4 linked regions of the Macaca fascicularis genome follow. The protein of the gene in region 3 purifies or fractionates together with the protein of the main gene of each other region. This does not show direct contact. Links are inferred from orthologs where the notes say so. Each region holds a gene or a part of one and is shown on either strand. Other genes may lie near its edges.

Region 1 (5,451 bases), on a different chromosome or scaffold from region 3:
TAAGCAGACATGGATCAATTTCCTTACATTTGCTTTACAGCCACAGATTACAGCACTAACCCAGTAAATAACCTGACCACCAAAAGGGAGTCCTGGCATAGGCGTGAGTGTAGGGGCACTCATGATCCAAGTGCATCAGCAGTTTATGTGGCAGATGCCTTCCCCTGCTGTAGATCTTGTTTGCTGTAGCTAAGTCAGGAGAGGGAGGAAGCCATCATTTAACTCCCTTCCCTTTTGTCTGTCCATGAGAATGAGACAAAAACAGGATTCCACAGCCATACCAATCCTGATTAGCAGGGTGTAGAAACCAGTTACATTGCCTGCCACTGGACCAGGAAACCTGGATAATTGTCAGTGTCCTCTTTTGCCCCTACTCTAGGATATTAGATTGTAAATCACTGTCAATACACCCAACTGATGAAATGAGGCCCATGGGGCCACCAGAGTTAATATTGGGAATGAATATAGGAACATACACTAAGGCCTCCTTTGGTAGACAAGCAGAGTACCAACGTGCCAAGGACCTACCGAAATAGCTCAGGTTTCTTCTTCAAAAAGAGAAAAGGCAGAGCATGTGCAAAGGCCTGCTATTTCTGGCCAGTTTCCTCACTCAAACTATACGGTAACATCAACATTCATGATGCTAATGAAGGTTAAGTGGATCTATTTTCCCTTCTATAGTTTGGATCATCTATTTCTTCCTCACCCTGACACTATGTTAAAAACCTTCAGATATAGATACCTATATACCTTTATCTATTAGATGCATTTATTTGTGACATATTCCCAGATTTAAAGAGAAAAGTGTCAGAGAAGGGGGAAAAAAGTACAAAAACACAAGTTTATATTTATTTAATGCTAAGAACACAGATATTCTAAAGAGATAAAAAGTAGTTTTATTTTTTCTAAATAGGATTTTGATTACAAAAATGCTGATAATTCAAACCTTTAAAGCGGAAAAGCATATAACCTGAGAAAAATGCAAAACATATTTCATCTCTCACCTGAGTTAGACTTAAACACCTAAGCATTCTCCTTAAGAGATTAATACAGTCACGTGTTGCCCAATGATAGGGATACATTCTGTGAAATGTGTTGTTAGGTGACTTCGTCCTTGTGCAAACAGCACAGAGTGTACTTACGGAACCCTAGATGGTATAACTACTACACACCTAGACTATATGGTATAGCCAGTTGCTCCTGGACTACAAACGTGTACATCATGTTACTGCACTGAATACTGTAGGCAACTGTAACATAATGGTATTTGTATCTAAACATAGAAAAGGTATAGTAAAAATACGGTATTATAATCTTACGGGACTGCCATCATATACGTGGTCTGTCATTGACCGAAACATCATTATGTAGTGCATGACTATTAAAATTGTGCAAAAAAAAAAAAAACAAGAAAAAAAAATAAACCTGTATCCATAGTGTTTAAACCGTAAAACCAATACCTGGTACATACATGACAAAAACAAAACAAAGCACGTAAAAGAATATGCAGCCTATAGAATTCAAAGACAACAAAGGTGACAAAGTCAGGTAAAAGAAAGGCAATTAGGGACGTAAGATATTTTTTAAAGCAGGAAGCTGATGATGTCCACTGTAAGCCTGGAAGAAACCAGGAGTCTGAATACGGAGTAGTTACTGATAGGAAGGATAAAGTGCTGCATCTCTAATAGCAAGCAAATTAACTCTGCTGAAATTGCCAGAATGAAGGCCAAAGTGGTTTTCAGTAAAGAGTGTTCTCCTTGACAGCATAGCCAGCATGTGGTTGAGCCGGGACCTGATACCAGCGAAGTGGAATTGCCGCTCTTTGTTCAAGTTTCTAAGTGAGTCACTCAAGTACAGTTCCATGTGGGGGGTGCCCAGGTACTTAGGATAGCCAGGATTGTGGAAGTCAGTGGCTCTGATGGAAGCAGGAGAGCCAGTGGAGCTTGCCACAGAGCCTTGGGAAGACACAGAGGAGGAAGACTTCAAACTGGAAGATCTTGATACAGACATTTTTGAGACTGGTGACCCTTCCGTAGATTGAGTTCCTTGAGGAAAGAGAATGTTCTCATCCATGTCAGTCTGAGTGGTGGTTGACCTGGACCAAACCATGGTTTGAGAGCTTGCTATCCTGGTGGTGACTGCAGTCTGGGTCCCAGCACACGCTGTGGTGATGCTGGTTTGTGTTCCCACCTCACTCACACTCAGCCTTGGCATCTCCTCTCCTGGCTCTGTTTGAGTGGCAGCGTCAATGGCCTTTCTGCTCTGGAGCTCGTCCCTGTGGCTGTTGAAGTAGTCTTCCTCACTAACAGTGGAGGACTCACAGTCATGGGGCTTGCGCTCTGCCTTGCCCTCTGCGGGCATCTCTGGGTCCAGGTCCGCCTTCCTGGGAGTACTGGAGAGCCTAGCCAGCCGCATCCGCAGCAGGTTGCCTAGGGTGAGCTCCTTAGACTGTGGTTTTCGGTCGGTGAGGTGATCAAACTTGTTGCTGCTCTGGAAGTGAGACAGGAGTTTGGGACTGATGGGCTTGGACTGGGCATACAGGATTCGGAACTCCAGATCAAAGTGTTCAACCACTTGGCCAGACAGAATTACCAAGTTACTGCTGTTTAATTTGCCATCTGTCCATGTAAAACTTAAGGATTAAAAAGAAACAAACAGCAGCTGGTAAGGATGAGCAATTTTGGTTTACTCACTGTCCATCTGAATAATATAGCACAGGTATCTTACCACATAAGGGTCACAACTTTGGTGATACAATACCTAACATTTGCATGCATTTAACTAGCCTTAACATATATATAACACATATGTGTGTTACCATAAAAGTAAAAAGGCCAGCTGTTTAACAAACACACTAAATGCTCAGCCTCAGAGGGTTTTTTTTGTTTTGTTTTGTTTTTTTTGAGATGGGGTCTTGCTATATTGCTCAGACTGGTCTTGAACTCCTGGGCTCAAGCAGTCCTCCCACCTCAGCCTTCCAAAGTGCTAGGATTACAGGCATGAGCCACCTCACCTGGTCCTTGCCTCAGAGTTTTTAAAAACTAGAAAGGGGGCCAGGCGCGGTGGCTCACGATTGTAATCCCAGCACTTTGAGAGGCCAAAGTGGGCAGATCCCTTGAGGTCAGAAGTTCAAGACCAACCTGGTCAACATGGGGAAACCCTGTCTCCAGTAAAAACACACAAAAAATTAGCCAGGCATGGTGGTGCATGCCTGTAATCCTAGCTACTCAGGAGGCTGAGGTAGGAGAATTGCTTGAACCCGGGAGGCAGAGGTTGCGGTGAGCCGAGGTCATGACACTGCACACTCTATGACAGAGTGAGACTCCGTCTCAAAAAATAAATAAATTAATTAATTAATTAAAAATAAAAAGTAGGGCTTGTAAGTATTTAGGCCAGCATCCCCATTGTAAGGTAAGAAAACTAGGCCAGCACCCCCATTTTAAAGGTACGGAAACCAGATAAAGGGATTATCACAGTGGGGAGCTACTAATGGACCCCATATCAGGCCCCAGGCCCTATGAATTGCTAATGCCCTGCTCCTTGCTACTGTTTGAGTGGTAACATGCCTTCCTGCCCTCAAGCTTGTCCTTGTGGCTGTTGAAGCAGTCTTCCTAACAGTGGAGGACCCACAGTCATGGGGCTATGCTGCCATTTTCACAAAACACCATGGCTCAAAACATGTTAGAGCTGATTAGTGGCCATGTGCCCTTGCCTGTCCAGTGTCCCTTCCCCGCCTCCCTTGTCTGCTAGCAGAACTCACACCCACCTGTACCCCAGAAAGCTTTCATTATCATACTCTCTCCAACCACAATAGGGGCAGGCATATGGTCCAGACTGGCCAGAGTATCCTATTCCCTCGGATGCAGGGATTCATTCAGGTTGGGCATGTAATCCCACCCGAGCCAAGTAATTTTTTAGAGATTTCTTTTTTCTTTGTCAAATGGATTCTGACAGAAGGGATTGATAGCAATTCTGAGTGAAAGTGTTTCACCCTTTGGGAGACAGCGACTAAAGACCATGTAAGAAAGCCAGGATCTGGCCGGGTGCGGTGGCTCACGCCTGTAATCCTAGCACTTTGGGAGGCCGAGGCAGGTGGATCATGAGGTCAGGAGATCGAGACCATCCTGGCTAACAGAGTGAAACCCCGTCTCTACTAAAAATACAAAAAAAAAAATTAGCTGGGTGTGGTGGCGGGCACCTGTAGTCCTAGCTACTCAGGAGGCTGAGGCAGGAGAATGGCGTGAACCCAGGAGGCGGAGCCGGCAGAGCACCGAGATCGCACAACTGCACTCCAGCCTGGGCAACAAAGCAAGACTCTGTCTCAAAAAAAAAAAAAAAAAAAAGAAAGCCAGGATTGTTGACTTTAAAGGGAGAGCCTACCTAAGAACAAAAATCAACTCGAAAACATCAGAATCAGGAGACAGTGTTCTGATCAGTGTGTGGGTCTTAGGTCAAGGTGAACTGAAAACCAACTGTAACTTCCTATGCTTCCTTCCAAGTTCTTCAAGTCAGTACGTTTGAGAGTTAGCTGACACTCGCCATCACCCCACTAATGGTGGTATTTGTACCGGAATAGGTTTCAAATAGAGATCATAAAACACAGTCAACTCTGTCTCCTGTAACCAAAAATCTGGCTAATGCAAAGTCCCCCTGAAAACTGCCTTCAAAGCCTGAGAAGGAAGATTCTTTTGAAAGCCTTCAATGAGGCTGGGCACAGTGGCTCACACCTGTAAGCCCAGCACTGTGGAAGGCCAAGGCCAGCAGATCACCTGAGGTCGGGAGTCTGAGACCATCCTGGCCAACACGGTGAAACACTATCTCTACTAAAAATACAAAAAGTAGCCAGGCATGGTGGCATGCCTGTAGTCCCAACTACTCGGGAGGCTGAGGCACAGGAATCACTCCTGAGAGGCAGAGGTTGCAGTGAGCTAAGATGGCGCCACTGCACTCTAGCCTGAGCAACAGAGCAAGACTCCATCTCAAAAAAAAAAAAAAAAAAAAAAAAAAAAAAGAAAGCCTTCAATGAGATAATGTAAATAAAACACCTATCCAACACCAAGATTATAAAACGTCCTCAACAAATGGAAGCTATCATCGTCATCAATTTCATTTGAAGAGTGTAGTTTTTATATTTTAGAACAGCCAAAAACCATTTGTAGTTAAGTTTAGTTAATATAGATAAATCCTACTTGGGTTTTATTTGGGTTAAAAAAAAAAATTTTTTTTTTAAATAAACTTCTTACAAAAGGAAATTCCAAGAAAAAGAGTTCATATTTGTTTTTTCCAACAGCCTCTTTGGTGAAGAAAGTTCAAATTTTATTCTGAGCAATGAGAGTATTGTTTAAAAAGGTGTCAAAATTTTCTTGATCTTACTGCTTCATCTTCCACAAGTCTTCACATTTCTACCTTTACCCAGGGCTGACATGTAATTATCACTCAGGGTTGTATGTT
Region 2 (4,751 bases), about 17 Mb from region 3:
GGCTGCCTGTGTGCATGGTGTCCTGTGGTCCCTGATGCGGACGGCAAAGGCCAGCCCCAAAAGAGCATGGGCATGCAGGGGCACCGCTGGGTCCCTGTCCACCCCCGTGCCGGTCCCAGGCAGACACCCCACGTTCTCCCGCTGCTGACCCCATGCTGTGGCCGTCCCCAGGTCAAGAAGGAGGCGGGCGAGAACGCTCCGGTGCTCAGCGACGATGAGCTGGTGTCCATGTCGGTGCGGGAGCTGAACCAGCACCTGCGGGGTCTCACCAAGGAGGAGGTCACCCGCCTGAAGCAGCGTCGGCGCACGCTCAAGAACCGCGGCTACGCGGCCAGCTGCCGCATCAAGCGGGTGACGCAGAAGGAGGAGCTGGAGCGGCAGCGCGTGGAGCTGCAGCAGGAGGTGGAGAAGCTGGCGCGTGAGAACAGCAGCATGCGGCTGGAGCTGGACGCCCTGCGCTCCAAGTACGAGGCGCTGCAGACCTTCGCGCGCACCGTGGCCCGGGGACCCGTGGTGCCCTCCAAGGTGGCCACCACCAGCGTCATCACCATCGTCAAGTCCGCTGAGCTCTCCTCCACCTCCGTGCCCTTCTCGGCCGCATCCTAGTGCCGGCTGGGGGCGGGGAGCGGCAGGCAGGCGGGCAGGGGCGCGCCCCTCATACCTGTCACTGGGACGCAGACTCTCGACATCCGAGTCCAAGCGCAGGCCCCTCAGGCGCGGGCGACTCACACCAGGATGAGACTGTGGTGCAGGGTGAAGAGTGGGCTCCCGTGGGCCCAGAGCTGCGTGCCGGTCCACACACACGCCCGCCCCCTGCTCCCCACAGGATGCGTCTGTGTGTGGGAATTGGCATCTTGCACCCGTGGGAGTCGGGACATATAACAGAAAGGCCCTCGGGAAGTTCCGCCGCCCCCGCGGGGGCTGCCAGAAGACACGGCCCCAGGAGTTAGGCCCCTGTGGTCAGGTCAGCGTGGGGCTTGTTTTCCACTGCAGCTGGGAGCAGCCTTCGACACCTGCCCTGCTGTGGCCTCCCAGCTGGTGCGGGAGCCCCTCGCTGCCCTGACCGACTCCGCAGACCCTGGGAGGAGCATGGATGGTGCGTCGGCAGCTCCGTCCTTCCAGCTGTCCTGTTGCAGTTGCCTGTGACCCGTGTCTGCCTTAGCAGGGGCTTGTGCAAGTGTGCGCGGTGTGGGAGGCCGCCTGCGTGGGGTGGTGTCTGTGTGTGTGCACGTGTGTGTGTGCAGGCCCGTCTGCCATCACAGCACCAGGGCTGAGGGGGCAGGTGTTCACTGGAGGAGGGCCTGTGGGCACGTGTGGCAGAGAGAGTGGCTCATACGTTGTGAGGTCTCCCGTGTGCTCTGGTGACCCGAGGAGGTCGTGCAGCACAGCACAGAAGCCCCACCCACGGGAGCCGGCCCCCCAGACACCGACCCCGCAGGCCATCCTGGACCTCAGCGGACACGGACAGGAGCGTCCCATCATTTGATGGTGAGCAGGACTCAGGCTCTGTGTCCTGGAGCTGCTTCTCACCAGCTGTGGTCAGTGCAGGGGGAACGAGGAGGTCTTTTGGGGGCCTAGAGGGGAAGGGCCGCTGCAGTCTAGGGAGAGGGGGTGCAGCTTGGGGGACGTTGGTAGATGTGGACGTGGAGGTGGGAGGGAGAGGACGTTGCATTGGGTGGTGGGAGGAGGCGGGAGCCGTGTGCGAGAGCTGGTGGAAAGGCTTGAGGGGCAGGACCAGGATGCGGCTGGCTTATACAAGAGCTCAGGAGTGAGGCTGGCACTCCAGAGGGCGTGGTGGGTGGGGAGGCGGCAGGCACCAGGCCAGGAGAGCCTCGTGGATGTGGCTCTCACGTGCACACCCCCAGGAGCACAGCCACGAGCTGCAGGTGTGGCCTTGGCACTCAGTCCTCGCCCGGAGCCTTCGCCTGTTCCTCCTTCCCCGAGCACCGAGGCACTGGTGGGCTTGGCACTCCACCTTGGGCTTCCTTTTCCTGGAGTGCCACCTTGAGGGTCCCTGCTGTGACTGGGGTATCTGCATCGGGGGTCGTAGAGCCCCTGCCTGGGGGAGCTGGCGGAATGTGAGCCACTGGCTGGGGGCCGCCACCTAGGACATGCAAGGTGGTGCCTCGGCTCCCTCTCGGCTGCCCCTGCCCATCCAGTAACACCCCCACCGGCTACAGAGCCCAGGCTGGTGCCAGCCACGCTGGGAGGGCGGAGGACAGACAGCCCCGGGGCGGCGACTTGGTTCTGTGTCTACTGTTAGAAGTGAGTGGGAAGCTGCAGGCCCGCCAGGACCACTGGGTCCCTGTGGAGCAAAGGCCTGCGAGTTCCCAAACAGCCGTTGCCCCCGTGGCCATGGTAGGTAATCCATATTGGATGTCATAAGGACCAGGGGGATATTTAAAGAGAGAAACAAACTATATAGAGATATAAAATTATATTCACAGTTTATCTACAGATTTTTCGTAACAATCTTTCTTTTCCAGTTTGATACTGTAAATCTATCAGAGCAGAGCTTGGGGGCACGGGCACAGGTGGGAGTTGGGAGCAAACCAGAGGCCCGGGCTGCCCACCGTCCCCCTCACCACGGACTGCACCAGGCTGCTGGGCCCCCACAGGACAGGCTGCAGCGGGTGGCCGGTTCTGTCCCATTTTGGGGTTCTTGGTGTCCACGTCTTATGGGCCGTGGGCGACCACCTGCCCTCGGCCTGTGGTGCTTTGCCGGAGAGGGGACTCCCCGGCCCCCAGGGTGGACGGAGCCGCTGTCACCGCCCAGAGCCGGGCCGGGGAAGCACGGCGCGTTCTGCTTTTCTTTTCGGATCGTTGAAATTTCATTGTCATGATTTAATATATGGATTTTTTTATTTAAGAAAAAGACGAAGGCCTCTTTGCCGCGTGGGTTTGTTTTCTGTCTCTGTGCCTCTGGCTTCCCAAAGAGATCCAGGTCTTTGCGTTTCCAGGGCGTGGGGACCCCTGCCCCCCACGCCCCCACACCGCCTCACCCTGGCCTCTGTGCTACTTGGCAGTTCCATTTCAATATTTATTTTTGTGCTGCTTTTTATCATGATATAAATTATTGAGAACAGATCACATGCGGGCCCGTGTCTGGCCGCCGCCGCCCTGCCCCGTCCCTGCGGCCACCACCTAATTTATTGCCGTGCGTCCTGCTGCTGTGACCGCTTTTGTACCTTTGCAATAAAGAATTTTCTGGTTTCAGACTCTTTCGTTGTGCAGTTGGTGCTTTTGGCTGGGGCTTTTTTGGGCTAAGAACCACACACCCCCCATCCCAGGGGACCCCGCCTGTCCCTCACCAGGGTCAGGATCTGGGCACCATGTGTAAGTGGCTTTCACAGACTGCTGGCCCGTGACCGTGATGCTGGGACAGCCACGGGGGAGGTGCTGGTTAGGTGGCCACGTCCCGGGCTCAGTCTCCGAGGGTCAGGCCGCAGTCCTGAGTGTCGCCATCTGCCCCACCCACAGCCCCCTGTCCATGCAGCCTCTCCCAGTGGAAGGAGCAGAGAGCACCATGGCTGTCAGTGTCCCCCTTCCCCAGGAGATCCCTCACCCAGCTCTGCTGGACTCTCAGAGGAGCCTGCAGGAAGCCGTGAGCAAGACAGGGTCTGTCTGGGAGCAGAGAGCAAAGCGGCCCTGCACAGTGGCTGGAAGCCTGTGGACTCCTCTGAAAAGCCAAGGGCCTGCCCACATGCCGTCGCCGCTCCGCCTGGCCTTCCAGGAGAGCAGCCCCGGCACACCCGGCCCCATTTTTGGGGCTGAGCTGACCGAAGGGTGAATGCCGTTCAGTGCTGGACCACGCAGGGTGAAATCCAAGCTGGATTTTTTTGAGACATCTTGCTCTGTCACCCAGGCTGGAGTGCTCGTGATCACGGCTCACTGCAGCCTCAACCTCCCGGGCTCAAGCAATCCTCCCATCTCAGCCTCCTGAGTAGCTGGGACCGCCGGCATACACCACCACGCCCAGCTAATTTTTGTATGTTTTTGGAGAGATGGTGTTTTACCATGTTGCCCAGGCTGGTCTCAGACTCCTGGGCTCAAGCAATCCACTCGCCTTGGCCTCTCCAAGTGCTGGAATTACAGGCATGAGCCATGGCACCTGATCATAATCCCACCTCTCAGCATCTGTGTGGCCTGGGGCCAGTTCCCTCCTTCCCAGCCTTGCTTCCTGTGAGGTGGGCGTGGAGGTGACTGCAGCAGCCGGCACGAGGGTTGAATCTGTGCTGGGGCCACAGCAGCCTGAGCTTGTCACTAGCAATGGCAGGGATGGCACTTTCCCCAGCTAAGTCAGACCTCCCCTGTGGCCCACCCCGCGGCTCTGGGCCCAGCCTGCTCCTCCTGGGGGAGCTGGTGGGTGTGAGTTGGGGGCACAGAGCCCCAGCCCCGTGTGGGGCTCCTGGAGGCCATGGACAGACAGGGAAGCTGTGAGAGGAGACGCCGCCCCGCCCAGCCGTGCAGCCTGCACCCTGGCCAGGCCAGGGCCCCCAGGGCTTCTACCCTTTCTTGTGGATGCTGGGGATTTTCAGCTGGACCATCTCCCAGACGAGGACACTGAGGCAGGAGAGGTTAGAGAGGTTGGTGGGGGCATTGGGCCAAGACACGTGGCTCCTGCCTGCCTCGAGACCCACTCCTCTGTTGGGGCCTGTCACCGGTAAACCCCTTTTTCTGCAGCGATGATGACACTGGAACCATGCCGGTCTCCGTCCTTCCCCCTCTCATGAGCCCACGCTCCCTCTCGA
Region 3 (5,473 bases):
ATGCCACAAGCTTGAAGGCCACACGCTTCAGTATTAAAAATGCAGATCCTTAGGTCCTACTCAGATCTACAAAATTAGAATCTTTTGGAGGTGGGACCCAGGAAACTTTTTTTTTTTTTTTTTTTTTTTTTTTTTTTTTTTTTTTTTTTTGAGACGGAGTCTTGCTCTGTCGCCAGGCTGGAGTGAGTGCAGTGGCGCGATCTTGGCTCACTGCAACCTCCACCCACTAGGTTCAAGCGATTCCCCTGTGTCAGCCTCCTGAGTGGCTGAGACTACAGGCGCGCGCCATCACGCCCGGCTAATTTTTTGTATTTTAGTAGAAACGGGGTTTCACCATGTTGGCTAGGATGGTCTTGATCTCCTCATCTCGCGATCCGCCCGCCTTGGCCTCCCAAAGTGCTGAGATTACAGGCATGAGCCACTGCTCCCGGCCAGAATCTGCATTTTAACAAGCAAACCAGATATTCTTACCCAAATTGAAGCTTGAGAGTCACTCACTTGCCTTGATACTCTCAGCACATTGGTATACCTTTGTGAGAGCTTCTCAAATAATTAAACATGTCAGGGCATACATCATAATTTTCAGGCTAGAAAATGTCACGGCTATTATCTAAAGAAGAAGGAGTTCCTCCCAAAGAGGAGGGTCTGATCTTCCCCTAGAAAAAACTGCATAGGTGTAGAAAAAAGACTGTAATTCCACTGGCTCAGGGTGGAAGGAGAATAAAGCCTCGGGCGCTCTCATGTGTCTGTAAGAACTTCAATCCTTCTTTCATGGTTTATTTCCAAATGTCCTTTGCTCATGTTTCACTAAATATCTGCACTCCCACCAAGAACTGAGGCAGCCCGAGATGCGAGGTACCTCCCACCTCTGGACCCTATCTAGACCGCTGGGTTCCACTCTCCCCAGTTAAGACACAATGCTCCAGGAAGCCTCCCCTAATTCTAGGTCATAATGTATCACTTCACCCCTCGCACTCCCATCCAACTTCACTTACGTGATTTTCTCATGTATTTGGGATGTAACTCAAACGTCCTCAAGTCCCACAGCCTGTGGGTGCAAATGCAGTCATGTTAGCGATAATACCTGAATTATTATCTTGGTATCCTTTTTGCCCCAGGAACTCCACGGCTGTCTTCTTGTTACTGGCTCCAAAGCTAACAGTAAAACCCCTTCACACAAATCGTCCTTTGGCTACAGACCTCAAGGTCCGTGCCATCTCCGCAGGAACCCTCGTGGGGTTGGCGTGCACAGTCCCCTCCGCTGCGCGTGCATCCCTCTCCGCTGACAGCCACTGCTTTGAACTCCAGAGGTGTTAAATGGCTTGGGAACATAATTTCAAAATTGACAGTTGGATAAATACCAGAATAAGCACCAGAAGATGACAGCGGAACCAAGGCTCGAGATGGGCCGGCTGACACCACTGGGCGCTGAACCTGGCTGGAAGCTTCCTGGCAGCGACAGCGAAAAGGGAACACCTGTCGTGGGGGCCCTTGTTTCATGTCAGTAAGAAGTAGAGCAACTGCTAGACGCGCTCCAGAAAACCCTGGACGCACTTGATACATCCCAACCAGCAAGCTCAAGTACCCTGCGAACCTGGGCGCCCGCCACCCCCAGGGCAGGCAGCGAGGAGGTCTTCAAGGGGTAAAGCGACCCCTGTGGGGCCAGCGCCCGTCCTCTCTCCTGCTATCCGCGGGCACCCGGGCACGCTACGACTCGGCTGAATTAGGGCGTCCTGCAGCTCCCGGGGCGAGGAGGAGCTCGGCCTTTCTGTTCTGCCCTCAGAAGGGAGAGGAGAGGTGGTCCTGGAGTGGGAGTCAGTTCAGGCTGCGGGCTGTGCCACGCGCGGAGGTCCGGGGACCCCACCCCCGCCTCCCCGAGGCCCGCCCCGCCCCTTACGACCCGACCCTGCAATCCCTCTGCGCGGGCTTCCGGCCGCGGCGACCCCGGCCCGCGCTGTTGCGCTAGCTAGTTCGCTGCCAGAGGTCTCGAGGGCGGTGGGGCGGGGCGGGGCTTCGGCGGCGGGGGCGGGGCCTCCAGCGGGCGGGCGGGGTTTTGGCGCCGCGAGGTGGCGGCAGCAGAGCGGCGCAGAAGGGAGGGGGCGGCTGGCCGCGCGGAAGGAGTGAGTCACCTGACCGCTGCCCTCGCCGCCCGCCAGGCGCTCTCGCTGCAGTCAGTCGGGCCGCGCCGCGCCTCAGCTCCGGTGAGTGGCTCGGCAGTCCCGCCGGCCCTTCTCCGGGAGGGTTGGCGCGGTCAGGGCCGCGGGCCTGTGAGGGGAGGCCCGCGGACAGGTCCGGGGGAGGCGCGGGCGGGCCGGGGGCGGCTCTTTCTGGGCTGGGCGGGGCGCGGGGGGCGCGTAGCGGGGCTCGCTGGGGGCGCTGGCGGCCGGGATTCTGGAAGTGGCCGCGACGCCGGAAGGGGCGTCCCGTCGGCGCCCGAACCCCCTGCACGGCAGGAGCTGTTGTTTACCCGCGCGCGCCGTACTTTACCCGGGGCGGGCGGGGACTAGGGGCCGCGGGGTCCCTGCCCCACCCCCGCTCCCCGCCCTCGGGCGCCAGCCCAGCCCCTCGCCCGCGGCCCGCCCGGTCTGTGACACATCAGCACCGCCCTCGCGGCTGGGGCCCCGTATTGTCCTCCGCCGCCTCCCACCGCTATGCCCAGCCTCGCGTCTACTCAGCCTGGTGCCTGTCGCGCGTGGAATCGCGTAAGAAAAGCCGAGTTTGTGCCTGGGGAGAGAAGGCCACCGTGCTGAGATGGATTTAGCGAAGACTGGTTTTGGGGACCGGAGATCCCAGGACTCCCTTTGTTGGAGTTTTGCCCACGCGTTGTAATTAAGCCTCGCACAATATGGTGAGAGTGGGCGTTGATTCTGGAGACACCAGCTTTGTGCTCGTGTAATGTAACACGAGTGCCGTTGCTTCCTCATTCTTACACGGCAGTTTCATGTCATTGAGTAGAATTGTGCGGAATGCTTTTATGGAGTGAGGCTTCTGCGTTAAACTTGTTTTGATTCCAGGTAAAGTGTAGTAGTAATTGTGAAAGAACGTGTATGGGGAAAACGAGCTACAGTGTCAGGCTTGGAGGAACAAAGAATGTTTTGTAGGATGCTTTGCTTTTTGGAAAATTGTATAGGGGTATGGACTGTTACCCATGGAGGATGCTATGGGAATTTGGTCACATATTTGAACACACTTTACATCAGAGGGTTTGTATTGAATGCAGTTCAGAAGGATAAAGGGTGGAAATCCCAGATGTGTTAGTGGCAGAGCACTTGAGCGCTTCACATAGCCAAGCAGAGAAATGGGAAGAGGCTTGCTTCTTCCTGGTCTTTGGGTAGTGGTGCAAGGGCTGGGCTGGGCTTGGCTTGAAGGCACTTGCCACTTCTGCCTTTGGACATCTTAAGGAAGGTTAGGGAAGAAAGGCTCCTGGTGAGTCAGCTTGGAGTAGGGTGGCTTTGGTGTAGTGAATCTTGTATTGCTGTTTAACCTATGGTTCTGTCAAGTGGTTTACTATTGTTCAGTATGTTGGTTGATTAACAAGGTAGGATGACTCTTTAAAAAGTTGGGTTGCTGAGTCATTCGCCCCAGCTTGAGAGGTAATTAGAAACAGCTGGTGCAGATACTCATCACATGCCTCCACTATAAAAGGCCAAGGAGCGCTCTAGAGGGGTTGCTTCAGAAGGCTGAAGGGGACCCAGCTGGGGTTGTTTTGATCCAGCTTATCGGTGGGTGAAGTGGAAGAGCACTCTTAGGCAGTGGCCAATAGCACTGAGGCGGTGTTTAAACCCAGAGTCTCGTGACCTGCTGTCTGAGAAGAAATTTGCGCTGGAGAGAGCTGAAACTGGGGAAGAAATTTGCAGCTAGGGGTAACCCAATAAAAAATATTGTAACAAAAATATTTGCTACTCTTACTGGACTTAGTTTCCTTTTTGTGGTTTTTGTTACGTGGTCTATAAATTTCAAGCAGTGAGCTTAATTTGTGCTTCATAAAAATTTGGTTATGAGTACACAGAGGGGACTTGCTGTTTCTCAAGACCCTTGGCTTTTCATGCATACACAAGAAGTTTCAGGAGTCAGAGGAGGGTAAGCACAGTATGGGTGGAATTAACAGGTCTCATTGGGTCAAGTCTGGAAAGAGCTGTTTAATGAATGGCCAACCATAAATACCTGTCTCATTGTCTTGATTGTGTGACACTACTGCCTTTACACCTGGTGTCATTGCTTCTTGCTTTAAAAAGGAGCACACAGCCCAAATATTTATGAATCCTCATTGCAAACAAAGTTTAGGAATGGGCAATGTAGAGCTGGGAATTTGACCCTTTGGTGGAAAAAATGATGATTCCTATTAATGATAGTTCATTTAAAACATTTTATATTAGGAAAAACTTTTTTATATATAAATTTTTATATTTGTTCCTTTATGTCTGGGACTAGAGGAGATTAGAAATCATGAATATTGTAAGTATTAGGGCCTCTAAGGTGGGGTACAAGGAGTTTCATGTGGAAACACTATATTAAAACTTTTAAAACCTTCTATTTAATATAAGAAAGACATTAAACTTAAAAATACAGACTAACAATAGCGCATTCATATTATATAATGCGCGTGCATGCCCTCCACCCGTTTGTTGTTGGGGGAACATAGCCTGTTAACCACTGTCAATAACATTCTTTCAGCAACCGGAATGCTTGTTCTTTTATGGTTTCCTCCTAAGAGTTCTTTCAGACTGTCCTTAATATTCCATTTAAGTTTTATTTTATAGGTAGTTATCTTGTCTGTATATTTTACTTTAAAGATTAGAAGTTTGAGTGTAAACTTCTTGTTACATTGTTGATATTGGGGATGGAAATACAAAAAATACAGAATTTCATTTGGTAACCTGTATTTTGAATTTGGAGACAAGCTCACTGGTTGGTTTGTTTAAATGTTTGTTATCTGAAGTGCAGTGAAATGTAAAAAGGTGCAATGGAAATACTCGAAGATGATCCACACATTGGAGTGTAGTATGTATATAGAGTGTAATATGTATATCACACATTCTGTAAAAATTACTTTGTACTGTCACTCCTCGAAGTCTTGTTTTTTTTGTATTTTTTTTGGCCAAGCTTACACTTGCTTAATGAAGATTAATAAGACGACAGATTCAGTGAATCCCTTGGAAAGTAGCATTTATTCTGAATATCAACCTCCTGCTAGTGCTGGTGGCGGGTGGCGGCAGTGAGGGTGGTATTTACCGTTCAGTTAAATCTCATGTGCCATGTGGCTTCTACACACCTGTACTGTGAGAGATTATGCTCAGAATAACAGTTGCAAAACCCTTTAAAATTACCACGTGTCAGAGATTCTCTTCATTGTGCTGATCTCTCTATGACTTACGTTTTAGGAATCACCACCTCTTCTAATTTTCTGACTTATGTTCTGTTAATGAGAGAATTGTCTTAACCCTAAAACCTGCACTCCCTGAGCATTCTAAAC
Region 4 (3,654 bases), on a different chromosome or scaffold from region 3:
TCTCGCTCTGTCACCCAGGCTGGAGTGCAGTGGCGTAGTCTCGGCTCACTGTAACCTCCACTTCCCATGTTCAAGCAATTCTCCTGCCTCAGCCTCTCGAATAGCTGGGACTACAGGCGTGCACCACCACACCTGGCTAATTTTTGTATTTTTGGTAGAGATGGAGTTTCGCCATGTTGGCCAGGCTGGTCTCAAACTCCTGAACTCAGGTGATCTGCCCGCCTCAGCCTCCTAAGTGCTGGGATTACAGGCTTGAGCCACTGCACCCAGCCTATCTTCCTTCATTTTCCTTGGCTTCTTATTACTGCCCCCTCCCCTTGGAGACAGATGAGAAAACTCACGTTCACAAGGAATGGCGGAGTAGATCCTATCAGCTAGGGACAAAGCAGACTGCTGCTTTATAGGGGCCTTTGGGAGTTGGTCCCCTTCTCCAGCCCAGAGCAATGACCACTGACCCTCCACGAGTTTTATTCACCTTTGTCTCCCCATTACCAACTACATGTTTGGCAAAGAGTAGCTGCTCAATAAATAGTTGTTGAAGGAGCATGCGGCTGTCAGGCGTGTGGGAGGGGGGATTAGGAGATGAGAGGCCCTCAGTGGTCTAGGGATGGCTGCCCCATCTGCCTAGGGCATGCTGAGTTAGTGTGGGGCAGTCCCCAGGCAGCTGGGAAAGCTTTTCCAAAACAGAGGTCTAGATGAAGGAGGCCTGGGGAGAGAGGGGACTGGCTGATATTGTATCTTATGGGGTGCCAGATGGGCTTTGTAAAAAGGCATTTACTGGCAGGGTGCGGTGGTTCAAGCCTGTAATCCCAGCACTTTGGGAGGCCAAGACGGGTGGATCCTCGCACGAGGTCAGGAGATCAAGACCATCCTGGCTAACACGGTGAAACCCCGTCTCTACTAAAAAAATACAAAAAAACTAGCCGGGCGAGGTGGCGGGTGCCTGTAGTCCCAGCTACTTGGGAGGCTAAGGCAGGAGAATGGTGTAAACCCAGGAGGCGGAACTTGCAGTGAGCTGAGATCCGGCCACTGCACTCCAGTCTGGGCGACAGAGCGAGACTCTGTCTCAAAAAAAAAAAAAAAAAAAAAAAAAAAAAAAAAAAAAAAAAAAAGAAGGCATTTACTGGTGCACATATGCTGTGTGTACTTTTCTGAATGTAGGTTATACTTTAAGAAAAGTTCTGAAAAATCAGCTGAGTACGGTGGCTCACACTGTAATCCCAACACTTTGGGAGGCCAAGGTGGGTGTATCACCTGAGGTCAGTAGTTTAAAACCAGCCTGGCCAAATGGCAAAACCCCATCTCTACTAAAAATACAAAAAATTAGCTGGGCATGGTGACAGGCACCTGTAATCCCAGCTACTTGGGAGGCTGAGGCAGGAGAATCACTTGAACCCGGGAGGTGAGCCGAGATCGCACGACTGCATTCCTGCCTGGGCGACAGAGTAAGACTGTGTCAAAAAAAGAAAAAAAGTTCTGAAAAATCAAATCAAAGGCACATGACCAAGCCCCATGTGGAAGAATGGTCAGGAGAGGGACATCTATTCATTTGGTGCACACTTACTGGGCCATCTACTATATACCAAGCACTTATTTAGGCATATTGATGCCATGGTGAGACAGGCAAGGCCTCTGCCTTCATGGGCTTCCGTTTTGGTGGAGGAGGAGTGGGAAGGAGAAACAAATCATAGATGAGGAACCAAGCACAAGAAATGCAGAAGAGGTGACTGTTACAAGGGTTAATAGGCAGGGTTATGTGATGTGACACAAAGAGGCGTTTAGCCGGAATGGTCAAAGAAGATCTCTTGAGGCGGTGACATTGGGCAAACACCTAAATGATGAGGAGTCACCATGGGGAGCTAGAACAGTAAAGAGAACAGCATGTGCACAGCTCCCGAGGCTGGAAAGAGCCATTCAAGGAGGCCTGTGGAGCAATGTGGAGAGAGGAAGGTGGCAGGTATGAATCAGTTCTAAGATAGCAGAGGCCTTGAATGGCAAGGTAGTGAGTTTGGATGTTATTCTAAATGGGAAAACAAAAACAAAACAAGGTGACTTTGACCTCCTTTCTACCCTAGGTCTGCGGCCCAGAAGGCACCTTCTGCAAACATGTCTGTGGATCCCCTATCCAGCAAAGCTCTAAAGGTAAGGAGGCAGCCTCTGTTAACCCATGAAGCCCTCCCTCCCTGCCCATGTAGAGCCTCGTCATCCCAACTTCCCCTTCTTTCCTGGAATCCCCTGGGTGGCTCAGCAGGCACCAGGCCTTCATGATGCCCAAGGGAAGGGCCACAGCCACAGGCTGGAACCAGGAGGCCTGGGCTCTGGTCACGGGCTGCATGTCCCTGGGGTAGGTCACTTCCCTCTCCATCCTCCTTCCCCATCGAGTCAATGCCCCCTGGTGCATTCAAAGGTGCTTTCCGGGCTGGGTTTCTCTGGCTGAGTCCAGGGCTTGGCGCTAGGTTAGAATTCAGGTTGAGCCCGGGGTGGCCTCCTTTTGTGTCCGGATCCTAGTTTGGCCTGGTTTCCCCTTCCCGGATTCCTGCTCCCCTTCAGGGTTTTGGATCAAGTCCAACCACCACCTCGGTGGCTAAGGCAGTGAAAGAGGAACACCGAGGTGTGGAGCGGGGCACCGTCCCCAGTCCCTGGGCCTCAGTTTCCCTATGCCCGCAGATCAAGCGAGAGCTGAGTGAGAACACGCCGCACCTGTCGGACGAGGCGCTGATGGGGCTGTCGGTGCGCGAGCTGAACCGGCACCTGCGCGGGCTCTCGGCCGAGGAGGTGACACGGCTCAAGCAGCGGCGCCGCACACTCAAAAACCGCGGCTACGCCGCCAGCTGCCGCGTGAAGCGCGTGTGCCAAAAGGAGGAGCTGCAGAAGCAGAAGTCGGAGCTGGAGCGCGAGGTGGACAAGCTGGCGCGCGAGAACGCCGCCATGCGCCTGGAGCTCGACGCGCTGCGCGGCAAGTGCGAGGCACTGCAGGGCTTCGCGCGCTCTGTGGCCGCAGCCCGCGGGCCCACCACGCTCGTGGCGCCAGCCAGCGTCATCACCATCGTCAAGTCCACCCCGGGCTCGGGGTCTGGCCCCGCCCCCGGAGCGGACCCCGCCCACGGCCCGGCCTCCTGCTCCTAGTGCCCGCCCCCGCCATGCCCCAGCCACGCCCCTCCGGCTCCAGCTCCCTCCCCAAAGTGCCTGAGCGCCGCCTCTGTGCCCAGGCCCCATTTCTCTGCAGCACTGGCCCCTTGGTGCACACACACTCCCTCCATGGGCCCTGTCTTCCTCTTGCAGCCCCCAAAACTGGGACCGCATGGCCCTGGGAAGGGGAACTTTGGTAGGTTGGGGATGGGACAGAGGTCTGGATCTGGGATCGCCCTTGGCTGAAAGTTTAGCCTTTTTAGATTGAGAGATACAGAGCCGGCTCAGAGAACAGCTGTTGGGGGAGAAGAGGGCACCCCTCATCTTGGAAACTGCTCTGATTGTGCCAATATGTCCTCCAAACCCTCCCAGGATTCAGAGCTAGGTTTGGCTGGCTGTGACTTACAGGCCATCCTGCTGAGAAATTGCACTGAAGAGATGCCTCCACCTCTGGTTTAGGCCTGGGGGTGCCTGACCCTCCGAAACTAAGAGTGGGTAGGAAGACTAGTGAAACCCAGTTCACAG

The links.
Region 1: the proteins of BACH1 (region 3) and FAM83D purify together in Homo sapiens (co-immunoprecipitation; 3 studies listed by BioGRID and IntAct, counting the BioPlex papers as one, with this or other methods). This does not show direct contact. The link is inferred for Macaca fascicularis from reciprocal best matches to the Homo sapiens genes BACH1 and FAM83D.
Region 2: the proteins of BACH1 (region 3) and MAFK purify together in Homo sapiens (affinity purification with mass spectrometry; 6 studies listed by BioGRID and IntAct, counting the BioPlex papers as one, with this or other methods). This does not show direct contact. The link is inferred for Macaca fascicularis from reciprocal best matches to the Homo sapiens genes BACH1 and MAFK.
Region 4: the proteins of BACH1 (region 3) and MAFF purify together in Homo sapiens (affinity purification with mass spectrometry; 3 studies listed by BioGRID and IntAct, counting the BioPlex papers as one, with this or other methods). This does not show direct contact. The link is inferred for Macaca fascicularis from reciprocal best matches to the Homo sapiens genes BACH1 and MAFF.

The regions. Positions count from the first base shown.
Region 1 is NC_088384.1:95,075,690-95,081,140, reverse strand, and holds the end of FAM83D (protein FAM83D), read right to left. Parts: intron 2,633-5,451; coding exon 1,651-2,632; 3' UTR 877-1,650; downstream 1-876.
Region 2 is NC_088377.1:34,990,391-34,995,141, forward strand, and holds the end of MAFK (transcription factor MafK), read left to right. Parts: intron 1-171; coding exon 172-606; 3' UTR 607-3,221; downstream 3,222-4,751. UniProt on the Homo sapiens protein: Since they lack a putative transactivation domain, the small Mafs behave as transcriptional repressors when they dimerize among themselves.
Region 3 is NC_088377.1:17,737,273-17,742,745, reverse strand, and holds the start of BACH1 (transcription regulator protein BACH1), read left to right. Parts: upstream 1-2,085; 5' UTR 2,086-2,201; intron 2,202-2,623; exon of another isoform or gene 2,624-3,014; intron 3,015-5,473. UniProt on the Homo sapiens protein: Transcriptional regulator that acts as a repressor or activator, depending on the context. Binds to NF-E2 DNA binding sites. Plays important roles in coordinating transcription activation and repression by MAFK.
Region 4 is NC_088384.1:13,395,909-13,399,562, reverse strand, and holds part of MAFF (transcription factor MafF), read left to right. Parts: intron 1-2,075; 5' UTR 2,076-2,106; coding exon 2,107-2,142; intron 2,143-2,667; coding exon 2,668-3,126; 3' UTR 3,127-3,654. UniProt on the Homo sapiens protein: Since they lack a putative transactivation domain, the small Mafs behave as transcriptional repressors when they dimerize among themselves.